Oryzias latipes: one gene and its partner. The protein of the gene in region 2 interacts with the protein of the main gene of each other region in a pairwise test. Links are inferred from orthologs where the notes say so. Each region holds a gene or a part of one and is shown on either strand. Other genes may lie near its edges. The genes, in order: psmg2 and psmg1.

The links.
Region 1: the proteins of psmg1 (region 2) and psmg2 interact in binary tests that used the Homo sapiens proteins (3 or more experiments, as listed by UniProt). The link is inferred for Oryzias latipes from reciprocal best matches to the Homo sapiens genes PSMG1 and PSMG2.

Annotation. Positions count from the first base shown.
Region 1 is NC_019869.2:7,088,798-7,100,170, forward strand, and holds psmg2 (proteasome assembly chaperone 2), read right to left. Parts: upstream 5,461-11,373; 5' UTR 5,309-5,460; coding exon 5,252-5,308; intron 4,525-5,251; coding exon 4,353-4,524; intron 3,199-4,352; coding exon 3,140-3,198; intron 3,069-3,139; coding exon 2,950-3,068; intron 2,864-2,949; coding exon 2,684-2,863; intron 1,682-2,683; coding exon 1,561-1,681; intron 1,460-1,560; coding exon 1,376-1,459; 3' UTR 1,151-1,375; downstream 1-1,150. Other genes in the region: uncharacterized protein LOC101168130, read right to left, coding at 8,660-8,813, 8,923-9,019, 9,083-9,261, 9,356-9,527, 9,626-10,004. UniProt on the Homo sapiens protein: Chaperone protein which promotes assembly of the 20S proteasome as part of a heterodimer with PSMG1.
Region 2 is NC_019872.2:24,920,368-24,931,624, forward strand, and holds the start of psmg1 (proteasome assembly chaperone 1), read right to left. Parts: upstream 7,530-11,257; 5' UTR 7,440-7,529; coding exon 7,321-7,439; intron 3,991-7,320; coding exon 3,887-3,990; intron 2,421-3,886; coding exon 2,275-2,420; intron 1-2,274. UniProt on the Homo sapiens protein: Chaperone protein which promotes assembly of the 20S proteasome as part of a heterodimer with PSMG2.

The DNA of each region.
Region 1 (11,373 bases), on a different chromosome or scaffold from region 2:
GTGTCTTTGATTGCTCTGCATCTATAGCTGTTGTTGATTCATTTTTATTCTTACACTTCTTCTGCTTTCCTTGCGGTGACAGGGTGAAAACCAGCGACTGCTAACCTCCGCCACCTGCAGCCACACCGCTACAGCTCCGGCAACAAAGCCAACACCGGCAGGGAACTCCAACCCTCTCCTCACCTCTGCATTCTTCTTCCTCTCTACTTCCCTTTTGTTCTCTTTAGCCGTCACGTAGCACAACTCCATTCTTCCTTTTTTATCGGCAGCAGCCCTCCTCCTGACCTTAAGATTTGGGGGATATTTGTCACCGATCCTCACTGGACTGTTTACAGAGAACACTTTGACATTCTTTGAAGACAAACACCAGCGGTTTACCTCCAGACAACTCAACACACCTTTAGTGCTACTTCCTCATCCAAATAAGACTTTTTTTGTTTCCTTCCAGCAGTTTTTCATGCTCCTTTGCTTTTATGAGACTGAAAATATAGGCTATGCATTGCCAATTTGTAATGCTGGTCATACGTGTATTTTTGGAGAAAAAAAAATCTATTTCAAACACATAATAAAAAAAAGGTTCTATTTTTTATTTTTTAAAGAAATTACTTGAAAGTTTTTTAGGTGATGTGGGGTGGTCTGATGACAATCACCGCTTCCTTCCACAAATACCAGTGGCATGACGTGTTTCCACCATGTACATAGTACTCTTTTTATTATTATGAGTAAAGATGTATTTTTTTGCCTGTAAAGACAAAAAAATAAGAGGGAGAGCTAATGTTGAAGAAATGACAGCTGTTGTGAGCTGCTCTCTTTTGGAAATGTCAAGTTTTTTTTCTTTGTGTAATCTTCTAATAAAACTTGTATTTGCTTAATTTACACACATTTTGTAGTTTGTTCCGAGTTGAACTCTACATAGTTATTGAGGGGAATGATCTCTTCTTTGCAGGAAGCAGCTAAAACAAGGCTGGAAGAGAAATCCACAAACCTGCTGGATAACGGAACGAGCATTGTGTCGTAATTCCGGCCTGTGAGGAATCAAATTACTCATAGGTGGGACTGCCAGGAATACAGCATGGCAGCCGGCCAAGCACTTTCAGTTAGGAGGGAGGAGACGGGACGAAGTGAGAGTAAAATGTAATCACAAACGCAATTCCCATGAAAATATTTTATTGTGGAAAACATTGATATTATCCTGGAAGTGCTTTCCATTTCCTGACATGCTGATGTGAATGAAGTTTGAGGAAAAGGGAGATCTTTAAGGGGTCAGTGATGTTTGACGGTGTTGTTCGACATCTGCAGCAGGAGTTTTGTGTAAAAGAAAAAGCTGCTTTGAGGCTTTTAATTGGTTAAATAAAAGATGAAGATGAAATTTGTATCAGAAGAGCGCAGGAGGGATTCCACTTCCAAACAGAAGACTCCAAGAAGTAGGAATTTTCCATCTGCTATTTGGCTCCTGGTCCTAAAAATGGAAATAAGAAAAATGATTCATATATATCTGTTAATTCAAACCTCTACACTGGATGAGCTTCATCATATCAGCAGGTTTTCTGTCTTTCAAACCTGGTTGTCCAGCAGATGAAGCCAGTCGTTGAGATGATTCACCAGAGCAAAGGCGTCGGGAATGTTGTCTCCTTCAGAACAGAAGAGCAGCAAGACGGCGAGCCGGAGATCCTCTGCACAACTACACACAGCATGAGATCAGAGACACAAACAAGAGCTGCAGTTGTTACGTTCTGAAGTTATTCTAAACTTTTTGTGACTAAACAAAAAGACTAAATGAATCAATAAGATTAAGCCATGTTTTCTTAAATTCAGGCTTTAAAAAACCATGCTGATATTATGATTTACTTTTAATAGCCATCTACTCAATATCCGGGTTTGTAGCGACCTTTTGGCTCTGAAGCTGCGTCTAAAACACGCTTGGCGGTGGACGAACTTCAAATGAAAAGATAAATGCACATTTAAGGTTTAACATTAAAAACCTGCGTTCACGCATGGCTACAGACATTTTTAAGACCATTTTTGGGATCTACAGTCAGGACCATAAATATTTGGACAGAGACACATTCTTTGTACTTTAGTTTCTGTACATTACCACAGTGAATTTTAAATAAAACAACTCAGATGCCATTGAGCGGGTCGTTCAACAACCGAAGGGTTGGTGGATCGATCCCTGCTCTCCCCAGCCAGCTTTCAAGGGGGGTGACAAGCAAAAAATTCTTATTTTCTGCTTTGCAATAAATTAATCTTATCAAGGAAACTTATCAATAGCAAAATAATGTTAGTTTAAGAAAACATGCCTAAGTGACTAGATTTTTCCCCACAATTCTTGTTGAGACCATTTTCTTACCTACTGGCAGATTTTTTTATTTTAAGAAACCATTTTGTTTTTCATATTTTAAGAATTTTTAACTTTCTCTCTGTGTTTACAGCCTGGATTTCAGGCAGGAGGTGTTTTCTGCAAAGAGCGCTAAACGCTAAACCCAAACTACCTTCTTCTTGAAGTCTTTAAAACAGAGAATCTCAATTTATATTTTTGTATTCCTTTGGTTTCAATTCCCAAATTACAATAAATTGTAATTTAACAATGAAAGTTCAACAACAGTTAATGGCCAATTACCAGGACAGCAAAGAGGGCTTTTTTTACGTTATGGGTACAGGTGTCATGTCGGAGTCCCAGTACCTGTCAGAGTAAAGTCCTTTTGTGATGCCTCCTCCTGGGATGCAGAGTCGAGGCTCGGCCTCAGCATCCGTTAGTCCGGGAAAGGCCGGCGTTCGCTCCATCTCCCTCCAGCCCAGCTCCTTCAGAGCATCAGCACTCACTCCCAGCAGAGACGGTGTGACCAGGAACCGAAGAGGAGAACTGATGAAAACGCAGATTCATCAGAACAGAAATGTCTGGAAATGGTTACAAAAATATACAAGGATGCTGTCAGACTGCAGGATTACCCCTGAAGCTGCAGGTCGTCTCTCTGGTAGGCATGGCTGCTGGACAGAACCATTGTTCTGGAGAAACCGCTCGCTTTGATCCAAGATACCAGCTGCTGGCGAAACCGCTTGGTCCTCGTCTGCAGTAAACAAACAAGTCAGAAATCTGACTAATTCCACGTAAATGTTGACGGGAATCAAACGGCTTTACCTGAATAATTGGGGCTCTGATCTGGAGAACTGCCAGCTTCATTTCTGCTGCTGTGTAAACTGCAAATGATTTATTTTACAGATTCCGTTACATTTTAATGAAATACGTTTTGTCTGCACCAGTGGTCCCCAACCCCCGGGCCGCAGACGGTCATTTGGTACCGGGCCACACAGAAAAAATAAAATAACTGACATGACTTCCGTTTTATTTATTTCAGAATCTGAAAGATGTTTTATTTTGAAAAACTGCAGATTCTTTGTTCCATTCGTCTATGTCACTCTTGACGCAGGCCAATTCGCTGATCTCGGTCACGTGATGGGTTACCGCTAAAATAAAACCCAGGAGCTAGTAAAATGAATAAAAAACAAACGTCTTTGGAAAGTTTCTTTGCCATGGGGAAAAGGCTCAGCCAGGAGACCAAAGAGGAGCCTTCCACTCCCCCCCCAAAAAAGAAAGCTACATTTAAAAAGACAGTATCAGGAGTCCTACTAAAAATACGGATTTATCTCAACGGGAGATTCCCTCGAACCATTCAGCACTGTGGTGAGTTGGATTTTCCATGCACTTATTTTGAAGGCATGTTTAAATGTTATAATAATAGCGACCAGAGAGTGTTGCCGGCAGAGAGGACGTTGCTCATGTCCTAATTCTTGTTAATTGTAATGTTTAGAAAATACCACCGTTTTCATGCAAGTCTCATCACTTTGTTGTATTGTAGTGTCTGTCACGTGCACGTTTGGTCTGCTGTCGGAGTTCCGCAGGCTGCAGGGGTTACTGTCGGAGCTGGTATCACAGGGAATTTTAGCACCATGAGTGTGGGAAGGGGAGAGGATGATGACACAAGTGCGATGAACAATGTTTAGCGTGTCAAAATAAAGGTGCAGAGCGCGTCTTATCACGCGTCTCTGCCTCTGTAGTAGCGTTGCTGCAGCGTGTGTCCGCCACATATAACATACCGGACCGTGAGAATTTTGCCAGACATCAAACCGGTCCGTGGTGCAATAAAGGTTGGGGACCGCTGCTCTACACAATACAGTGAAATATTAAAATCTGTCAGTCTGTCACATAAAAGGGTGATTGTACACGAAATACAAAACTATCACATAAACCCTTAAACCAAGTCACCCAAAAAACTGTCAACACAAATCAATGCAACAACATTTGCAGCATAGAAAACGTATCAATCAGACAGACTTTGCTGAACCCATGTTACCTTCTGCAGGAGTGTGCAGCTCCTCCGCATCCTCTTTGCAGGAGCTGTAGGGGTTGTTTCCAGCCATGGGGATGAGACAGTCTGTGTGCATGTAGCCCACTCTCCTCATGTTAAGAGTAGATACGATGAGGTCGACCGCCAGCTGACCCACGTTACCAACAGAAACAGCCGGCTAAGGGGACACCCAAAGAAACAGGACAAATATGGAAGACGGCTACTACTGTGAGGTGAAAGGCTTTCAGAAGGCCTGAAAACTCTTTTACATCACAATCGAATAAAACAGCACATTTCTAATGCCTTTTTCAAATCAAAACAACTTAGCTAGAACTTTAAAATGCAGTATTTCACCCTAGTTTATGAAACATTATGGCAAAAACTTGAAAAACAATATTATGTCCATGCATTTATCATTCTGGAGGTGTTAGGAACCAAATTATTAATACAAATAAATGTCAGAAAATAGCAATCGTCAATTAAACCTAACAATCTTTAGTTTTGGTAGAGAAAATTATCTTAAGTGATGGAATTTGTTAATACATACGTGACTTGGTTTAACCAATTAAATGTCATAATAATGGCCAAGGCCATTTATCACAACAGACCTGACCCCGGTGTTTTCTGCATGAACATCAAATCGCAGAGGAGCTACATTCTCCCTCTGACATCCTTTTACTCGAATGTGTTACAGTTTTACTGCTGTTATTTGTTAGAGTTCAATAACAACCACAATTATAATAAAGAATCAATCTACAAACTAACTGACTGGAACCAATTACAGCTATGAATAAAGTAAAAAAAAAAGAAGTAAGTAACACAGACTTGTTGATAGTAATATACAAAGTAAAACTGCTTGCAGTTGCAACAGAGAAACGTTTGCAAGAAGTGAAACAAAAACTCACCATGACGAGGGTAAAATCTTTGAAAACAGGAGGCGAGTCTTGCGAGGAAACAAACATGATGCTGAACAGGGAGCTGACACAAAACCAGAGAGTTACGGTTAAAAAAAGTATGTAGGAGTACGCTAATCACAACTGAAAATTTGTAATATCTAAGCACACGCTTCCTCAAGTTTCCATGCCTGATTCTGTTGTATACGTTCGTGGAGATTTTGAGGACTGAAACTAGTTTAGGCATACTTCAGGAATGCCTGACTATAATTCATCAAAAAAGCAAACTTAAGAAAATCTAAAATCATTATAACCTATTTTAACCTTTAAATGTATTGGTTTTGTAGTAGCGTGTGTAGATTATTATTAGTTTACCCCCACCTAGGAACAAAAACATTATTTTTTAGATTTCTTTAGTCAGGCTAGTAGCCAAAACACCCTCTAGAAATAAAATGGTCAATTTGTCCGCGTTTTTTTTATTTTTTTTATATAACTTTATTTAACAAATGCAAGTAAATTTGTCCGCGTTGAAGCTTTATTTATTTATTTATTTATTTATTTATTTATTTATTTATTTACCAATGTATAATAGTGTAGCGATCTGGGGGTTAGCCCCGCCTATTATTATTAATTTTATTATTATTATTATTATTATTATTATTATTATTATTAACAATAAGAATATTATTATTATTATTATTGTTGTTGTTGTTAGTAGTAGTAGTAATAGTAGATGTAGCTTGCCGTAGCTTGCAGCAGCAAAATGTGTCAAATTAACTTTAAAGCCCAAATTTTCTCCAGGGTTCATTTAATGTTTTTAATACACTATGATTTTTACTGTTGTGTGATCTTTTTTTTCGTTTGTTTCTTTTCATGATAGAAACTGTTGTCCCCACACGCATTTTAAAACTCGAGTGGATATGACATTCCAAGCAATGGCAGCCAAACTCTGGAACACCCTGACTCTGCTTCTACCATTGACTGTATACGAGACATTCAAGGGTTGTACAGTCATTGACAAGACTGAGGCATTCAATCATAAGACTTTTTTTATTTCAGCAGGCTTTTAGTTAGATTTGGGTTCTTTGTTGGATATTCTGCTTCTATCTTTAATATTTGTTACTTGTTTTATCTTCTTTTTGATGTGGTTGTAAACATTCTTTCTGGAAAATTACTGCATACACTACTTACTTTATAAAAAAGAAATAACCCACTTTCACAGGAATTTTTAAAATGTAAACTGTTTATTTTACTAAATAAAAAAAGAACATTTTCAAAGTCTTTCTACCTTTCTTTTATTGTTCTCTGCCCTTTGGTTCCTTTTTTACTGCTTACATTATTTTTTATTGTTTCTAATATTTTCCCCTCCAGGGGGGTATTCCAATAAGCAGGTTATTCTAGTTACCACGGTAACTTTGAGGCTAAGGAAGTTGATAACCTCAGCTTTTGGTTCCAAAAATGGAGGTATGTTTCAGGGTAGGTCAAGTTGCCATGGCAACTCATGCTCTGAACATAACCTGGTCTGGAGCAGGTTTAGTTGAAGCTTAGTTTGTTTTCAGAGAGGTGAAGCAGCATGGTGTGTCCATTTGAAGATGATTTAGTGGATGAAGAAGCTCAGATAATACTTTTTCCACCATGAGAGGGTGATAAGACCACATATAGATGTTGGAAAGATAAACTTTTTTACATTGCTCTAACTTAATTATTTGCTTCAGTTAAGATAAATCAATTATTTTGTTAAGTCATCTTAAAAATAACATCTAGTTATCAGACAGTTATTTTACCTTAATTCAAATTAATTTTATTAAGTAGGTGTAACTTTGATGCTGCTGTTAGATCTGCACCGCAAGCAATTGTGGGATACCATTCCATTTGCATGTCTGGACGGATTTGGGTTTAAGTGTGGGTTTTTGACCAACTGTGTTTAGTTGTTTAGCTGTTTTACTGTGTTTTGCTGAGTTATTTGTCCTTTTATGTTATATTTTTTCTGCACCATGAGTGAGGGAGGGAGAGGATGATGAGGTTTTATTTAGAAGCCGCTTATTCTTGGTGATGTATTGTCCAAGTAAGAGAAATTGTAAACTACATCTTGAGTCATGATACAATTCCATTTTGTTTCAATCATTTTATTGTTATAAAATGAGTATATCTGCCGGCTCAAACTTAGACATAGGAGAGTTCAAGAAGTACAATAAATTAAGATGGAAAAACATTTGAGTAAAATCACATTTAGTTATATAAATATGTAAATTTGAGTTGTAAAACAATATTGAGTTGGGTAGACGTAAGAAATTAGGTTGAATAAATTTAACTCAATTACTTGATACCAATAGAAGCAATTCATTTAAGTTGGATAAGTTATATGCGTCACAATGAAAATAGAAATGAGATTGAAACTCGTGCGTTTACTTTTTCCTTCTTTTTCTCCAAGCAGAAACTCTTTCTTTTGCTGATGATGCAGCCGTATTACTTTTTTGATGGACGTATAATCCTCACACACTGTCATTTAAATCTCAGACTCTGTCACAAAAGTATAGCGCTCTCTTTTGTTCTCGTCACGTTTCTATGGTGACTCTGGATATCGACGATCCATTGAGAATGTCTTTATGTACTTGCTGTGCACGTGCATTAACCCAGGGTTACCAAGTCCAGCGTAATTACGCCAACTCATATCCGGTCTTTTGGAACCGACATACCCAGAGTAAGCAAGTTCAGGCGGACTTCAGCCAGAGTTCAGGGTTAAAGTCAGGCTAGTTTAAACCTGCTTCCTGGAATACCCCCCAGTATTCTTCCATATTTTTTAGTGCGTTATTTATTCATTTAAAAAATGTTAATGTTAGTTCATTGTACATAGTATTGTGCGGTAAATTGCATAATATAATAGTTTGTATGGTAAAACCCATTTGTCACATTAAAAAGGAGGTCTTGGACTCACATTTTTGTCTTTTTGTTTATTTATTCAAGTACAAAGAAAACCTGTGATTCTACAGATTACGATTGAATATGTCGACAGATGCGCAACTGAGTAATTTACAACAATATCATACAAGAAAAAAAACATAAATGAGATAGAATGTATAAAGCCACTCTTTACCAACACCTAGATTTCCTGCTTCTCAGTCCTACTGTTTACAGTGGCTTAGTAATTTGAAAACATCTATTGATACAGCTCTTGGCCACGTTTGTTTTATATAAGAACTCTATGACAGCTGTAAATTTAAAGACATAACGTAATATAACCAGCGACAGACTGGCGGCCTGTCCAGGGTGCCCCCTATCTTCACCCACAAGTGGCTGGGATAGGCTCCGGCAGCCCCGTTTCCAGCCATGGGGCAGCCTCAAATAATCAGTCTTAAAAACCCCATAATGCTAAACTAATTTTTTGCTCTATAATTTCCATGTATTATCATGATAGCATTTTTAAAGCTTGACTTCATTGGGAACCTGACTACCTTTTACAACAGCGACAGCGTTCTCCACCATCAGCTGCACCATCTTTCTCACTGTGGTGTTAGTGTTGGTCCCTGCATGGGGAGTGAGGAGCACATTGGGAAGGCTGAGGAGAGGATGATCTCTGCACAAAGCAAGCAGCAAAGCCCAGTCACATGACACTTTTATTCCATCATTGCTTTTGTCTTTTTAATCCGTTTAAATAAACCTCAAGATGTCAAATGCGTTGTTACCTTGGTAACGGTTCAGGATAAGTCACATCCAAAGCTGCTGCTTGAATAACTCCAGATTGTAGAGCCTTGAGCAAGGCCTCCTGGTCCACAACCAAACCTGTTGAGTCCCATATTAAAGTAAATATGGTTGCATAAAAATGAAATCAGATCTAATCCCCACCTCTGCTGATGTTGACTAGTGTAGCCGTGTCTTTCATGAGGGCCAGCTCTCTATGACCAATCAGGTGTTTGGTTTCAGGGCTCAGATTGACCGCCAGCACAACAAAGTCAGACTCTTTCAGTAGGTCGTCCATGTTCCTGCAGTAAATCGCCCCCACAGCCTCCTCATCTTCCAAACACCTTAGGAACAACGGAACAAAACGTTTACAAATGTGTTTGTTTGGATCTATAGCTGGATTTCAGGGTCACATTGTTAAACATTGATCATTGTTACCGTCTTGTTCTATTGTGATATAGAATCCGCATGTCGAAGCCTTTGCCCCTCTGAGCAATTTTGTATCCAATGTTTCCCATTCCAATAATTCCCAGAGTAGATCCTGATACTTCAACTCCCATCAGGCTTGATGGTAAATATGTGGTCTTGGGATCAACAGAAATTAAGTGACCTGTAGAGGTGGAAACCAACAATCTTTTGTCCTCACCCTTACAGAAGAGGTATTGAAGAATAAAAATGTGAAATGATCAATTTCCAGTTTCCCTTCACCTTCAACAATCTTCCGTGCAGATGCCAGAAGCAAACCCATGGCCATGTCTGCAGTGGCAGCACTCACCACCCCCGGTGTGTTGGTCACCTTCACTCCAAGGCTGTTGATGTACGACACATCCAGATGATCAATGCCCACTCCTCCATTGGCAACCACCTTCAGGGACGGCAAGGAAGTCAGCAACGACGGTTCAGCTGCAGGGTAGCAGTTCCAGACAAACAAGGCCTGGATTTTGGGGCCATACACGAGTGGATTCTTCAAAAAGTCTTTATGGCAGATGAGCTGGAAGTGCTGTTTCATTATGCCAATGACGCCTTCCAGGTAACCCTCGCCGCCCACCTCGGAAAATAGAGCCCATGGTTTTTCCTCAGCCATCACCTAAAATAAAACCAAATTTAAATGTTACAGCTGTAGAATAGATGAGAAAATGACATCCTCATGACACAGGATACAATCAGGACACAAACTTGCCAGTGTCTGTTTTATTTTATATTGAATGCTTTGATGAAAAGATATGTAAACCTTTATGCTATTAAGCATAAAGCATCTCTAGATTTATATATTTATATATATAAATCTATATATATATATATATATATCTTCTTTTTTCCCCATTTCATTTCTGATGTATAAGAATTTGTGTTTTTGCTGTTTCATGGAAATAAAAATAAATTTAAAAAAATTAATTCAATAAGTTCAAACATAAAGATCGTAAAGTAGGGGTATTAACACCCATCAGTAAAAATTATTAGATTAGATTAGATTAGATGACTTTATTTATCCCACGATGGGGAAATTCCTTTATCTGTGGCAGCAACAATGACATTCAGAAAATAACATCAAAAAAGGACATAAAAAATGATATTCATATTAAATAAATAAATAAATATTAAATAAATACAGCTGTTTGTGATCAACTGTAAAAAACATGTAAAACGTTTTTAATACAAATATAAGTAAGTAATAAAGTACACACCAAACAAACAACCATTTAGGAACAAAAACAATCGAAAACAGCAACAACTGCAACAAAAGTAAATGAATAAATGAGTGAAAGAAGAAACACCCCGGGGACCGTCTGATGGCTGTGGGGAGGAATGACCTGCAGTAGCTCCGTCTTGCACTGTGGGGGCAACAGCCTTGTGCTGAAGGAGCTGGTCAGTGCCTCTACAGTTTGGTGCAGGGGGTGGGAGGGGTTATCCATGATGGATGTTAGCTTAGCCGACATCCTCCTGTCCGCCACCTCCTCCATGGACTCTGGTGTGCAGCCCAGGACAGAGCCGGCCTTCTTAACCAGTTTGTTTAGCCTCCTCATGTCTCTGTCTGTACTGCCACCCGCCCAGCACACAACTCCATAAAGGACCACTGAGGCCACCACAGTGTCATAAAAGGTCCTTAGCAGCTGTCTGCACACGCCAAAAGACCTCAGTCTCCTCAGCAGGTGAAGGTGACTCTGACCCTTCCTGTACTGAGCATCCGTGTTGTTGGACCAGTCCAGTCTGTTGTTCAGGTGAACACCCAGATATTTAAAAGTGTCCACAATCTCAATGTCTGAACCCTGGATGTTCACCAGTGAGTGTGGTGTAGGGATCTCCTGAAGTCCAGGACCAGCTCTCTTGTCTTGCTGGTGTTTAGCAGCAGGTGGTTGCTTCACCAGCCAACAAAGTCAGAGATGACCCCCCTGTACTCCTGCTCGCGCCCCCGATACACAGCCCATAATGGCACTTTCATCTGAGAACTTCTGCAG
Region 2 (11,257 bases):
AATGTGTTTTTGGTGCTTTAAACATGTTCTCTGGGCTTTTTCTGATGATGAGCATTTATATAAGAAACGTAAGCTCAAAATGACATTTCTGAGTTTTTCTTTATTTACCGGTAAATTGTGTGAATCAAGAGCATACGAAAAAAGGGGTTTATTTGTGACGTTGAAAATATGCTGGACGGGTCAGAAGCTTCCTCTTTTGAGCTCTCAGCAACCGGGAGCGGTCCTGCCCACAATTAAGAAGCAAATTTCTTATCAACTACTGCCGCTCTGCATAAAACTATGTCCTAAAAACGTCACAGGCTTTTTGATTTAGGCTAAAAGTGAAACACGTAATCATAATTAAGAGATCACTGGGAACGCTTTGAAATAGATCAAAAGATGATCAGAGTGAGACTCTAAAAACTGGCAAATGACAGTAAGAAACAATACAAGTATCACTTAATGTGGCAACAGTTACAAACATATACAAAAACTGTCCAATACACACAAATGAAACAAGGTTTGGAGAGGTGTTGCATTTATTGACAATATATAAGAACTGGACTGAGTGAGTCCTTAGTTTTAAACCAGCGAAGTCAATTAAGTCGCCATTTTTTTTGCAACATGGACTGCGCCACGTTTGAGCCACATGAAGTCAGTAAGCATTGATTGGTCCAAGTTGGTCTTGGTCAACATTTCTATGGCAACCGCTCTCATCAATCAAGAGAGCTTTTCTTTTAGAAAGAGCTGGTATTTGCCCATGCAGGCGGTTGTGATTAAGGCATATGTATGTACATATGTATGTACGGTATGTATGTACGTACAGTGTGTATGTATGTACAGTATGTATGTATGTATGTATGTATGTACGTACGTACGTACGTACGTACGTACGTACGTACGTACGCACGCATGCATGCATGCATGCAATGTATGTATGTATGTATGTATGTATGTATGTATGTATGTATGTATGTATGTATGTATGTATGTATGTATGTATGTATGTATGTATGTATGTACCGGTATGTATGTATGTATGTATGTATGTACCGGTATGTATGTATGTATGTATGTACCGGTATGTATGTATGTATGTATGTACCGGTATGTATGTATGTATGTATGTATGTATGTATGTATGTATGTATGTATGTATGTATGTATGTATGTATGTAGCTTCAATGAAACAAGTTTAAAAAGTATTAATATTTTCTTCCTATTAAATAACAAAATTGGCCAATCTAAACTTTATACACATTTCAATCTGCATATCAAACTGGAAACACTAATATCAGGATTTTGATTATTCAAACTGTCTGTAATCTTTTGCATAGTCGTAAAATATTCCATCAAGCTTTCATGAAAGCACCACAGAATTAATAGACTTTTTTTTTTGTAATTTTCGTCACTTTACAGCAATCATCTCTGGGCACTTTAAAGTGATGTAGAAACAAATTGCCTTGCCTCAAGCACTTGTGACAGAGGTGAGTCATAGTCTCTCCCCCAATTTCCATCTGATTATCACTGTTTAAAGTGCGACTGTTCAACATCCAAGGAACTGGCCACCTTTATATCCATTTAAAATTTCAAAGACTTAATTTTGAAACTAAACTGGACGAATATCCTCAAAATCCACAAAAGCATAAAAAGAGGATCAACTATAATTATTAAAATGTAATTATTATATAAAATATTGTAAAAGACGGAAGTCATTTGAAGTTGAAGTCAGCCCTGGTGGTAACTGTATTTCCCGCAGCGGTGTAATTTATGGCAGACTGTGGCAGTATTCTTTGCCCACAGCTGCTTCTGCTGTCCTTCAGTACATTAAATCCCTGCAGGAATCTGAAGAGGTGATAAATCTGTAGCCTCCACAGCAGCTCTGTGCTTCAAACGTGGTCATTTGCTGCGTTTATCCCAATTAAATCATGAGCCACCGACAGCAGGCAAATAGAAAGTAACCGCACGCCTCCGCGCACACTGCGGTCCACTGGAAGTCTGTGTTCTGACAGCTTATTTAACGGAAACTAGATTTCCAGGTTCATCTTTGGGTGTGAAATAACCCCTGACCATTTTCAAAAACAGAAATATTCTTTATTTTAACAACGGCATAACTATCCTTTGTTAGAATAATGATTCCAAGCCATCTTGTGTTGATTTGGTGATAACGTGTTCACTTAAAAACTTCTGAACACAGAATTTTGAAGAGTTCAACAGTGAGGCGTTTCTGTCTACTGGTAGTTAGGCAAAAGAAAGCATATGCTCTTCTTTTTTTTTTCTCTGCGCGTCACTCACTGATGGGATGTCCTTATGTCTGTAGAAAACACATGCCGACTCCTCGCTGCTTTGCCCAGCCACAGCCCGGCTTCTCTCGTTCCACACCGACGCACGTCCAACTGCGTCCCAGTTTGACGAGCTGAGAACGTACGCTGACAGGAAGCCTGTGAAGACACATCCGCTCAGTATTCAGCTCACAGGAAAACTGTTTTATTCACGCTGCAGCTCATGCCATCTTTGACAAGCTCTGCTTTGACATCTCAAATCTGAAAACAAATATATATATTTTAAGAAAATGACTGTCTTCATGATCTGTTAATATTTGGGGTTTGTTAATAATTTACACATTCATTTCAGGCCTGCACGTTTCCGCAATTTAACATCATGTAAGGGTCGTGTCCTACAGCCACTACAGACATTTTGTGGCTATTGCATGGATGAAAATTTGTCATGTGAATATATATAGGGAAAAAAAGTGAGAAAAGTTGTGCGTGAAATTTTCTTGCACTTTCTGTCCCCCTATGCCTTCCTGCTGTCTGGCATTGGGCCCCCGTGGCGGTCCTGCTGACCTGGGTGGCAGATGTGATTGCCCGGCGGGCAGTTATCTCTATCTAGGGCGGGGGGTCCTGGCTACCACCGCTGCTTTGGTGGGGGTCCTGGTGTGGGGATGACCGGGGCACTCTCCCTTTTTCCTTTTACATTTTATCATCCACCATGGAAGAACGTAAACACTCACTCGAGCTCAGGTGTCTCACCTTTTAACAAATAGGTTGCGTGACTGAATGAAATGATTCACATGCGTTGGTCTGAATGGATAAGTATGCATGTGTCCATATGATTAGGTTAGAAAATGTGAATAAAAGAGCATTTTAAAGCAGAGACTGTTCTTCAAATGAGTGATAAAAAACGAAGCCTTCTGGGTTGAATCAGTTTTAATGATTTTTTATAATGATTTATATATTTTGTCTTATTTGTGCTTCAGAAAAGAAAAAAAGACAATTCAGCTTTTAATAGTAACCATTTAAAATGACAAGATCTGTATTTGTGCAAAACTGTAGCAGAAAATCTTAAACAGATCCTTAAACTTTCCTGGTTGCAGCAGTTAAGTCCCACTCCAATCAATTTCCTTGATCTATTTTCAAAGTGTTCACAGTGGTCTTTTAAACATAATAGTTCCGTTTTAGCCATAAATAAATACAAACCTGTGTTGTTTTTTCTAAGACCTAGTTTCTGCAGAGTGGCAGGAGTCCATTAGAAATTTACCGCTGAGTTGTGGGAGGGGATCCTTGTCAGGATGCGAATCAATTTCAGGAGAAAAGATGATCTGTTAAAGTGTAAGGTCTTCAACTTCCCCTTTCTCTGTGGTGTCTTTAAATTTTAAAATATTTTAGAACTAAAAATGATGCCCAGGAGATCTAATAAAACGCAGAGAAGAGTTGGACTCTTGGCATAACTCCAATCCGGCAGCAGCTTGTTTTTGTCAACTATTTGCTCTTTTGTAGTAAAAACCTAAATGTTCGCTTTCTGGCAAATTGTTTGACGCCCAGCCAGCAGCTATGAAGGACCTCTGCTAATGTTAAAGGCGCAGGAAAATAAATGGGAGGCGCACGTTTTTGCCCCCAATACTTACTGGCAGCATTGTGTCCCACAGCAAGGAAGAAATCTGAACACTGGAGTTTGTTTCCAGACGCCAGCGACTGCGAAGTTTCGGGATTCCAGAGCAGGTTTACCTCCCTGAAGAATGGAGATGAAGTTTAGAAACAATTATTTATAATGTTCTGGTGATCATTAAAGAAAAGGGCAGCTTTTATTCCATTATCATTTACAAGCAAGATGCTTTTGAACTTTTCCGTTTTTTACGCCATGGTCAACATTTTTTTGTTTTTGTTTGTTTGCTTCTAATTACATTTAAATTTCAGGAACAGCCACTGAAACACGGCGTACCTATTAGTCAGATTTTATGAAAGCTCTCCTAAGCACTCTGTGCTGCAGCATGGCCGGCTTTTAAACTGAAGTGTTTGGGTTCGGCCCACTCTCAAGAGATAAATGGGAAAACAAAGCAAACCCATCAGTCATTGGAGACAAGGCAACGGCGTAATGTGCACGCGGGACGGGAGAAGCAACATCTCTCTAAAAGCCGTTCAAACGAAAATGTAAGTGAAGATTCATCGTCAGCTGTTGCAGTAATGCGTTTGGTTTTAGCCACCTTCACGCCGTAGACAGACACCTGACAGTATGTCGGTGCAGCAGAGATAATTGTTTACAGATACTGCCTGCCGCAGTGTGGTAATTCTTGCTTTGTATCTAGTAGATTTACATTTACACCTCCTATTTTCACAACATCTTGAGTTGTCAGGTAAACTTTGGCCCATCAGAAAATTAAAAGGCAGAAGACCTAAACATGACCCTTCAAAATACAAAAATATTACCATTGTTATTTGGTTTGGAAGTTTTCAGCATTTACCACTGAAGCTTTAACACCTAAAAACTTAACTGATCTTCTAAAATACATGAATGAAAGAAAAACAAATAAAATTTCAGCCAACAGCGTAACTTCTTTTTGTCTTTGCAGGAAAAGCTGAACGAGCCACTTCATTCGGTTCAGACCGGACTGTCGTCTAACGAACTTTCCTGTTCTGTTCCAAAGCTAGTAAACAAAACCACATGACAAAATATCTCTTCAGTCATTGGCCAGGAATTACGAGGGCGGGGAAAAGCCACAAGAGGCAGAAGTTTTGGAAGTCCTGCACGTTGTGTGTAGGACTTCAAGTTTGTGTGCAAGTTTGTGTCGGGATAGATTCAAACTTTATATTTCAATCACAAATTTTGAACGCCTGAATCATAGTCAGGCTCAGCACTTTTTACTTGCCAGTGGAGGCGTGCTGCAGGGCGGTTATTGCCTAGAAAATAGCCAAGAAGGTACACTAATAAGTGTTTATGACAGATATAGATTGTCAGGAAAACAGTGTGAGAAGCAAAGTGGATCACGTTAAAAGCTGTTTTAAGTTGTTCCTAATTCACCACAGTTCAGTGTGTTGCTGTGTCTCATCGTTGTGGTGTTATGGCATGTTTTAAGAGAATTCTGTTGATAAACTACAAGGAAGCTTTAAGGACAATGTAACAGCACTGCCTATCGCCGCGTAGCGAGACGCAGAAAAGCACGTAAGAAGCTTCTTTTAACGGTGTTAAAATATATGTTTTAATAAATAAACAGTTGGACCCTTTTTCCCTGTTTGGACTCTACCTTATTCAGACTGGACACATTTGGTTCACTTGAAATCAACCAGAGTTTGTTTCCCCCGATGATCCAGAACAAATTTTCAGTCTAAATACACCCGAGTGGACCCTGATCCGAGACCAGGAAGGAAACACTCTCTGACCCATCTTTCGAGGTGGTCTTGGTTCGTTTCCAATCAGGCTGAGCTTCGATTCACTCTGAGATTCCTCGGTCAGAATACAGTCCGTTCCCGGAGAGGAACAACTGGACCAAAACAGTAGCGGACGAAAAAGACAGAGTAGGAATGATGTAAACAAATGAGCCGCGGACAAATCTAAAGCAACAATTGCCGTGTTATCAAACAGGAAAAAAAGGGTCCAACTGTTTATTTGTTAGACCTTAGTTTAACACAGGGGAAACACTCTTTTCTGTACACGCATCAGGGCTGCTGTGACGTCACCCTAAAAGCTACCTTGTAGTTCCTAACAGAATTATCTTAAAATAATGCCATAACACCCCAACAATGAGACACGGCAACTTATTGAAATGTGATCGAGTGAATTTAGGCTAATCAAAACAACTTTTAGCGTGATACACATTGCTTCTCATAAAAATCTGTCATAAACACTTATTAGCGACCCTACTCAGGTGAAAGAAGGGGGCGGGTTGCTCTGCGCCAACAGTCCCGCCCAAGACTCAGAGGTGAAATTCTGACGAACTACTGCTGCTCTGCAGAAACTATGTCTTATGTCCTGTTCCAGACTAACGCTTGTAAAGAAAACCACATGACTAAAGATCTCTTAATTCATTGGTCAGGAAAAACAAGGGTGGAGCAAAGCAATGAGAGGCAGAAATTGTCTTGCTCTTGCAATTCTTGTCAGAATAGTTCACTTATTGAAACTTTATATTTCACGGACCAATTTTAATCCTCTGCATCAACGTTAGGTACAACAATTTTTTTATTTTGCTACTTTGGTACGGCGGGGGCATGCTGAAAGATGGTTATTGAGGAGAGAAGTAACGCTGATAAGTGTTTATGACATATTACAATTGTAAACCGTGTGGGAAGCAATGTCCATCTCGTTAAAAGTAGTTTCAATGAGCCTGCATTTATCCAACCAAATGTCAATGAGTTGCTGTGTCTCATCGTTGCTCCGCATTTGTGTTTTCATCCTGTAATGCCCGGCAACGGTGGATGTTTTGGTCAAGTTGCTCTGCCGAAGAAAACCCAGAGTTAACCGGAGCTCAGTCCGATTGGAAACGAACCAAGACCACCTCCAAAGATGTCTCAGAGAACAGTTACTGATCCTGGACCAGAATCCGGTTTGGTGTAATCAGACTGAAAATTCGTTCCAGATTCCATTTGTTCCACTGCACACAAAACACTACCATCCTAAATGCATTTATTATTTGTTAAATTCAGATTAAGTCCTATATTGGTTATTTTTTTAAATAAATATTTTAAACAGCACAGGGGCATTTGGGTCAAAGCATCAGCTAACAGAAGTTGTACGTATCAAGCTCTCTCTTCTTGTTGTTTTTTTGCCCAACGTTTTAGAACATGCTCAGAAATGTATTTTTAATGTGAGTGGGGGGCGTTTCATTAAAGTTGTTGCTAAAAACACATGTGTCATGTTAGCTTTGCTAGCAGTTGCTTCCTCACAAACCAGCACCAGAATGTTTATATTAAACAATAAACAAATGAAAATATATATGTATGTGTGTGTGTGTGTGTGTGTGTACATGAGGTCCATCTACACATTTTCCACACATTTCCTGCTTATTTAAGTCGTGAACAAACTACATTTAAAGATTTCCAAACGTGCTACATGACTAACAGGATTTACCTCTTTTTCTCTAGTTCTCTGCGGATTTCTTCATCTTCTTCGTTTTCTACAAAGTCCTCGTCCTCTTCTTCCACGGCCCGTGAACACACAGATAAAACTTCACCGAAAAATGTCGCCATAACGGCAAGATTTGCGAAAGAAACTGAAAGTTTAGCAACTGATTTTTCCCACCAGGCGCTGTGACGTCAGTCTACAACTTCCTCCGGCACCGGAAATGTTTTCAAAATAAAGTCCCTTTGATTTATTCTATATTCCTTCTTAAACAAAACAGTTGAAATCAAAGTCCTATTTATTTGCAGACAAAAAAATAAATAAATAAGAATAATAAAATAAAAATAATAAACCCAAAAAGACTGTTTTTTTCTTGAAATTGTTGCGAATATTATGTACTGTAATGTATAAATGTTGTGACTTAACCAGGAGTGTTTAATTCTCTTATATTGTGTATATTGTGCATTTTTCTGTGATTCGCTTCCAGTGTTTCTGTCTATCTCTAAAATGCATTTTAGATAAGTCATTCAGGAAGAAATTTTTATAGAGACTTCCATCAGATTTTACCAAGATAACAAAATAGGATTTGGGCCATGGATAAAAAATGATAATAAAAGGCCAGAAAAAAAAAATCTGACTTTTTTTTTAAAATCAGAATTCTGAGATTCATGTGAGCATTCAGAGAAGAAAAGTAAAAAATCTGAGATTAAAATTAGAATTCTGAGATTAAAGTAAAAATTCTAAGATTAAATTAAGAATTCTGAAATTAAAGTCAGAATTCTGAGATTAAAGTTGAAATTCTGAGATTAAAGGTAAAATTATAAGAAAAAAGTCAGATTTCTGAAATTAAAATAAAAATTCTTAGATTAATTTTAAAATTTGTCAGATTGGTCAGAATTCTGAGGGAAAAGGGTCAAAACTCTGCAATTAAAGTTAAAATTCTGAGATTAAAATCAGTAGTCCGAGGAAAAAATGTTAGAATTTTTACATCAAAGTCCCAATTCCTTTTGGCCCTTTGTTTTTTTCTCAATGGCCCAAATCCTTTTCTGTAGATAACAGACCCTTTTTATTTGTTAAAAAAATCAAATTATGGCACACACCAAAAAAAGCACTAAACTTATTTTATCACTTCCAGTGACATATCATCAACATGCAATCATTTTATAGCAAGATAAATTGTTATAGCAATCAGTACTGATTTTAGTACTTATCTAGATTTGTGACTATTGCTTCAGGATTGACTTGAAATATGTGAATAGCTGTCTAACCTCGTTTTACTGACTCAAAGTTGCATGAAAGCCCTCCCCTGTGAGCAGTGCACCGCCATCAGTTCTGGTAATATGTACAGGCACTGTATGAAAATCCATCAGGTTTATACCTGAGGCAATAACCTATAACACAGGATCATTTATGTCTTTCCAGGGAATTCACATCTTTGTGATTGCACATCATTTCCTGGCTTTGAGAGCAACACTTCTGTGCTATATTTAGCCCATGTGCAAACTGTATGTAAACTTGACATGCCACATGACTCTTCCAGCTTTTTGCCAGTGATGTATAATTAAAAGAAGTGGAAAGAGACAGAAATGCTGGATCAACTTCTGCATGACCAACCAAAGACATAACCCAAGTCACACTTGTGCATTTTGGCTCAAATTAATAAAGCCATCCTTTCCACTGCATGGTATAACTTATATTCTTGTGAGCTTTGCTCTGAAGAGAAAACAGAATTATAATGATGTCATCATGGCGATAAAAAACACGTCATTGTCACCTGAAAGTTCCTTGTGCTAAGGGGACAAACTGCATTGCAAGCCAAAGCTTGGATTATAATAAACCGGGATCTGTTTCTACTGTGGTGCAATAATGTATCAGGAGGCCATAAAGTAACAGCAGAAATGTTTCCTATCACAAAATGGAGCAACATGCTCTGGGGAAACTTCAGGCTGCTGTTAATATAATTGATAGCAAAGAGGAAGAGTGGAAGGGATGCTGTGCAGCTTAACAAACACTAAAGCCTCCCAGGCTCAAATCAGCAAGAGAGGAATGTCAAAATAGGACAAACAGGGATGTCACTGCTTTACTGCCCATTAAAACGGGGAGTCTGGAGAGACAGTCGGTGCACAACAGCATCCACAATGACTGTCTGTCTTCTCTGTGTCCCAGCACCAATGAGGACAGGGAAGCTAATGGTCCCTCATTCCATTAGTTTATTTAGCCTGCACTCAGGTCAGGAGTACAGAATTCATTCTTCTGACTAAAGGCCCAAATACCTATAGTGAACGTCATCATGTCCCAGTGTCATTTTTTTAAGAGTTGTGTTATTTTTTTCATTTTGATCTCTAGATTTGTACCTCCTCCTTTATTTTTGAAGACCCACTCAGAGGAAAATTGTGTTTTTCAAATGTTTTGTGGCATTTTTCTGACAATGGAGGATATTTATTGAGAAAACGCTCATCTGAGTATTTCTTTGTTTAAATCATTGTGAATCAGGAACAAATTAAAAAAAAAACGCAGTTTGAAAATCAGATAATCTGTGACACAGAAAATTGGCCGGGTGGGCCACAAACTCCCTGTTCCTCCTCATTCTGATGCATTCACTTGTAGACGACTAAATCCTTGTACGTCTTAATTTTCCTCATCTAAGCTGGCATCTGACTGCAAACCGTACAGCTGGATAACGCAAATATTGCTCGCCATTTTTGTTGCACTGGATGTCAGGTTAGGGGTGTGAGGGGCTGTGAGATAGCGGGAGCAGGCGTAAACAGAGAGCTTACAGTTTTGGGAGATGGGGGGGGGTTTGCTCCACGCCAACGGTCCTGCCCACAACTCAGAGGAAAATTTATACTGAATACTGCCACTCTGTACAAACTATGTGTTAAAAAACAACAGATTTTTATTATTATTATTTTTGGCTAAAAACTGTGTAATTATAATTAAAAGACCGTTGGAAACGGTTTTACAATAGAAAAATGATCAGAGTGGGCCAGTTCTGAGCTGATGGGACACCTAGAAAAATCCGATTTTGAAGAATAAAAAGCCTGATCTTTCTTTTGTATGGTGCATTAAGTTTCCTTGGGAGACCGCCATGTATACAATTCTAAAGTTGCTTGCATTTTTTTGTTGTTACTCAAATGAGCTTGAGCATCTTGAAACTCAAGACTGCTTTGTCTTTTTGTCTGGTTGGTACCTTGCTGATGCAGTAAAAGCACCTTCATGTGACACTGACGATCATTAGCATCTGCTTTGTATAATTGGTTGATAATACACATGACAATAATCTTACAAAATCTATAGAAAGATTGTTTTGGGGGTTGTTATTTGTATTTTGTTAAAGTCTCATGGAGCCACTGATAGGCAGTTAGTCTGTTGTAATAGACAAGCTACTAAATTTAAAACAATAGAAATATTATTCAAAATGTACTCGAAATACCCTAAAGTATATATTTAAAGTAAAATGAAATTGAGTAGTTTCGTAATGTGTTTCACCAAACACTCAATGACAGTGTAAAATACATTTTTACTTCAATTTTAGTATCCATGAATGAGTTTATATCATTATTTACTGTGGTATTTGATGCATTGATGACCGGCAAAGATTATTTCTCAGTTCATCTGCGGCTACAGACTTAAAATATTGGAAAATCCTTTCAACAATCATCCAAAAAGCTTCCTTTTTATGATAAACAAACCATGAAAAACACACTTACTTCAAAAAAATGCTTTATGTAAGTTAGACCTGAATATTAACTTTGCTTTAAGATCCTTAGACTTTTGAAACTTTTTCAATCTACCTTCAAAAATATTCTGCTTCTGTCTGTATTTTCTTTAATGGTCTTCCATTGTTTTAAGGTCACCAATTCTACAAATAATTGTTAACTTTTGAAAATATATCTACAACAATAAAAAGTACAAGAGTTTTTTTTAAGTGTCTTTTTTTCACACA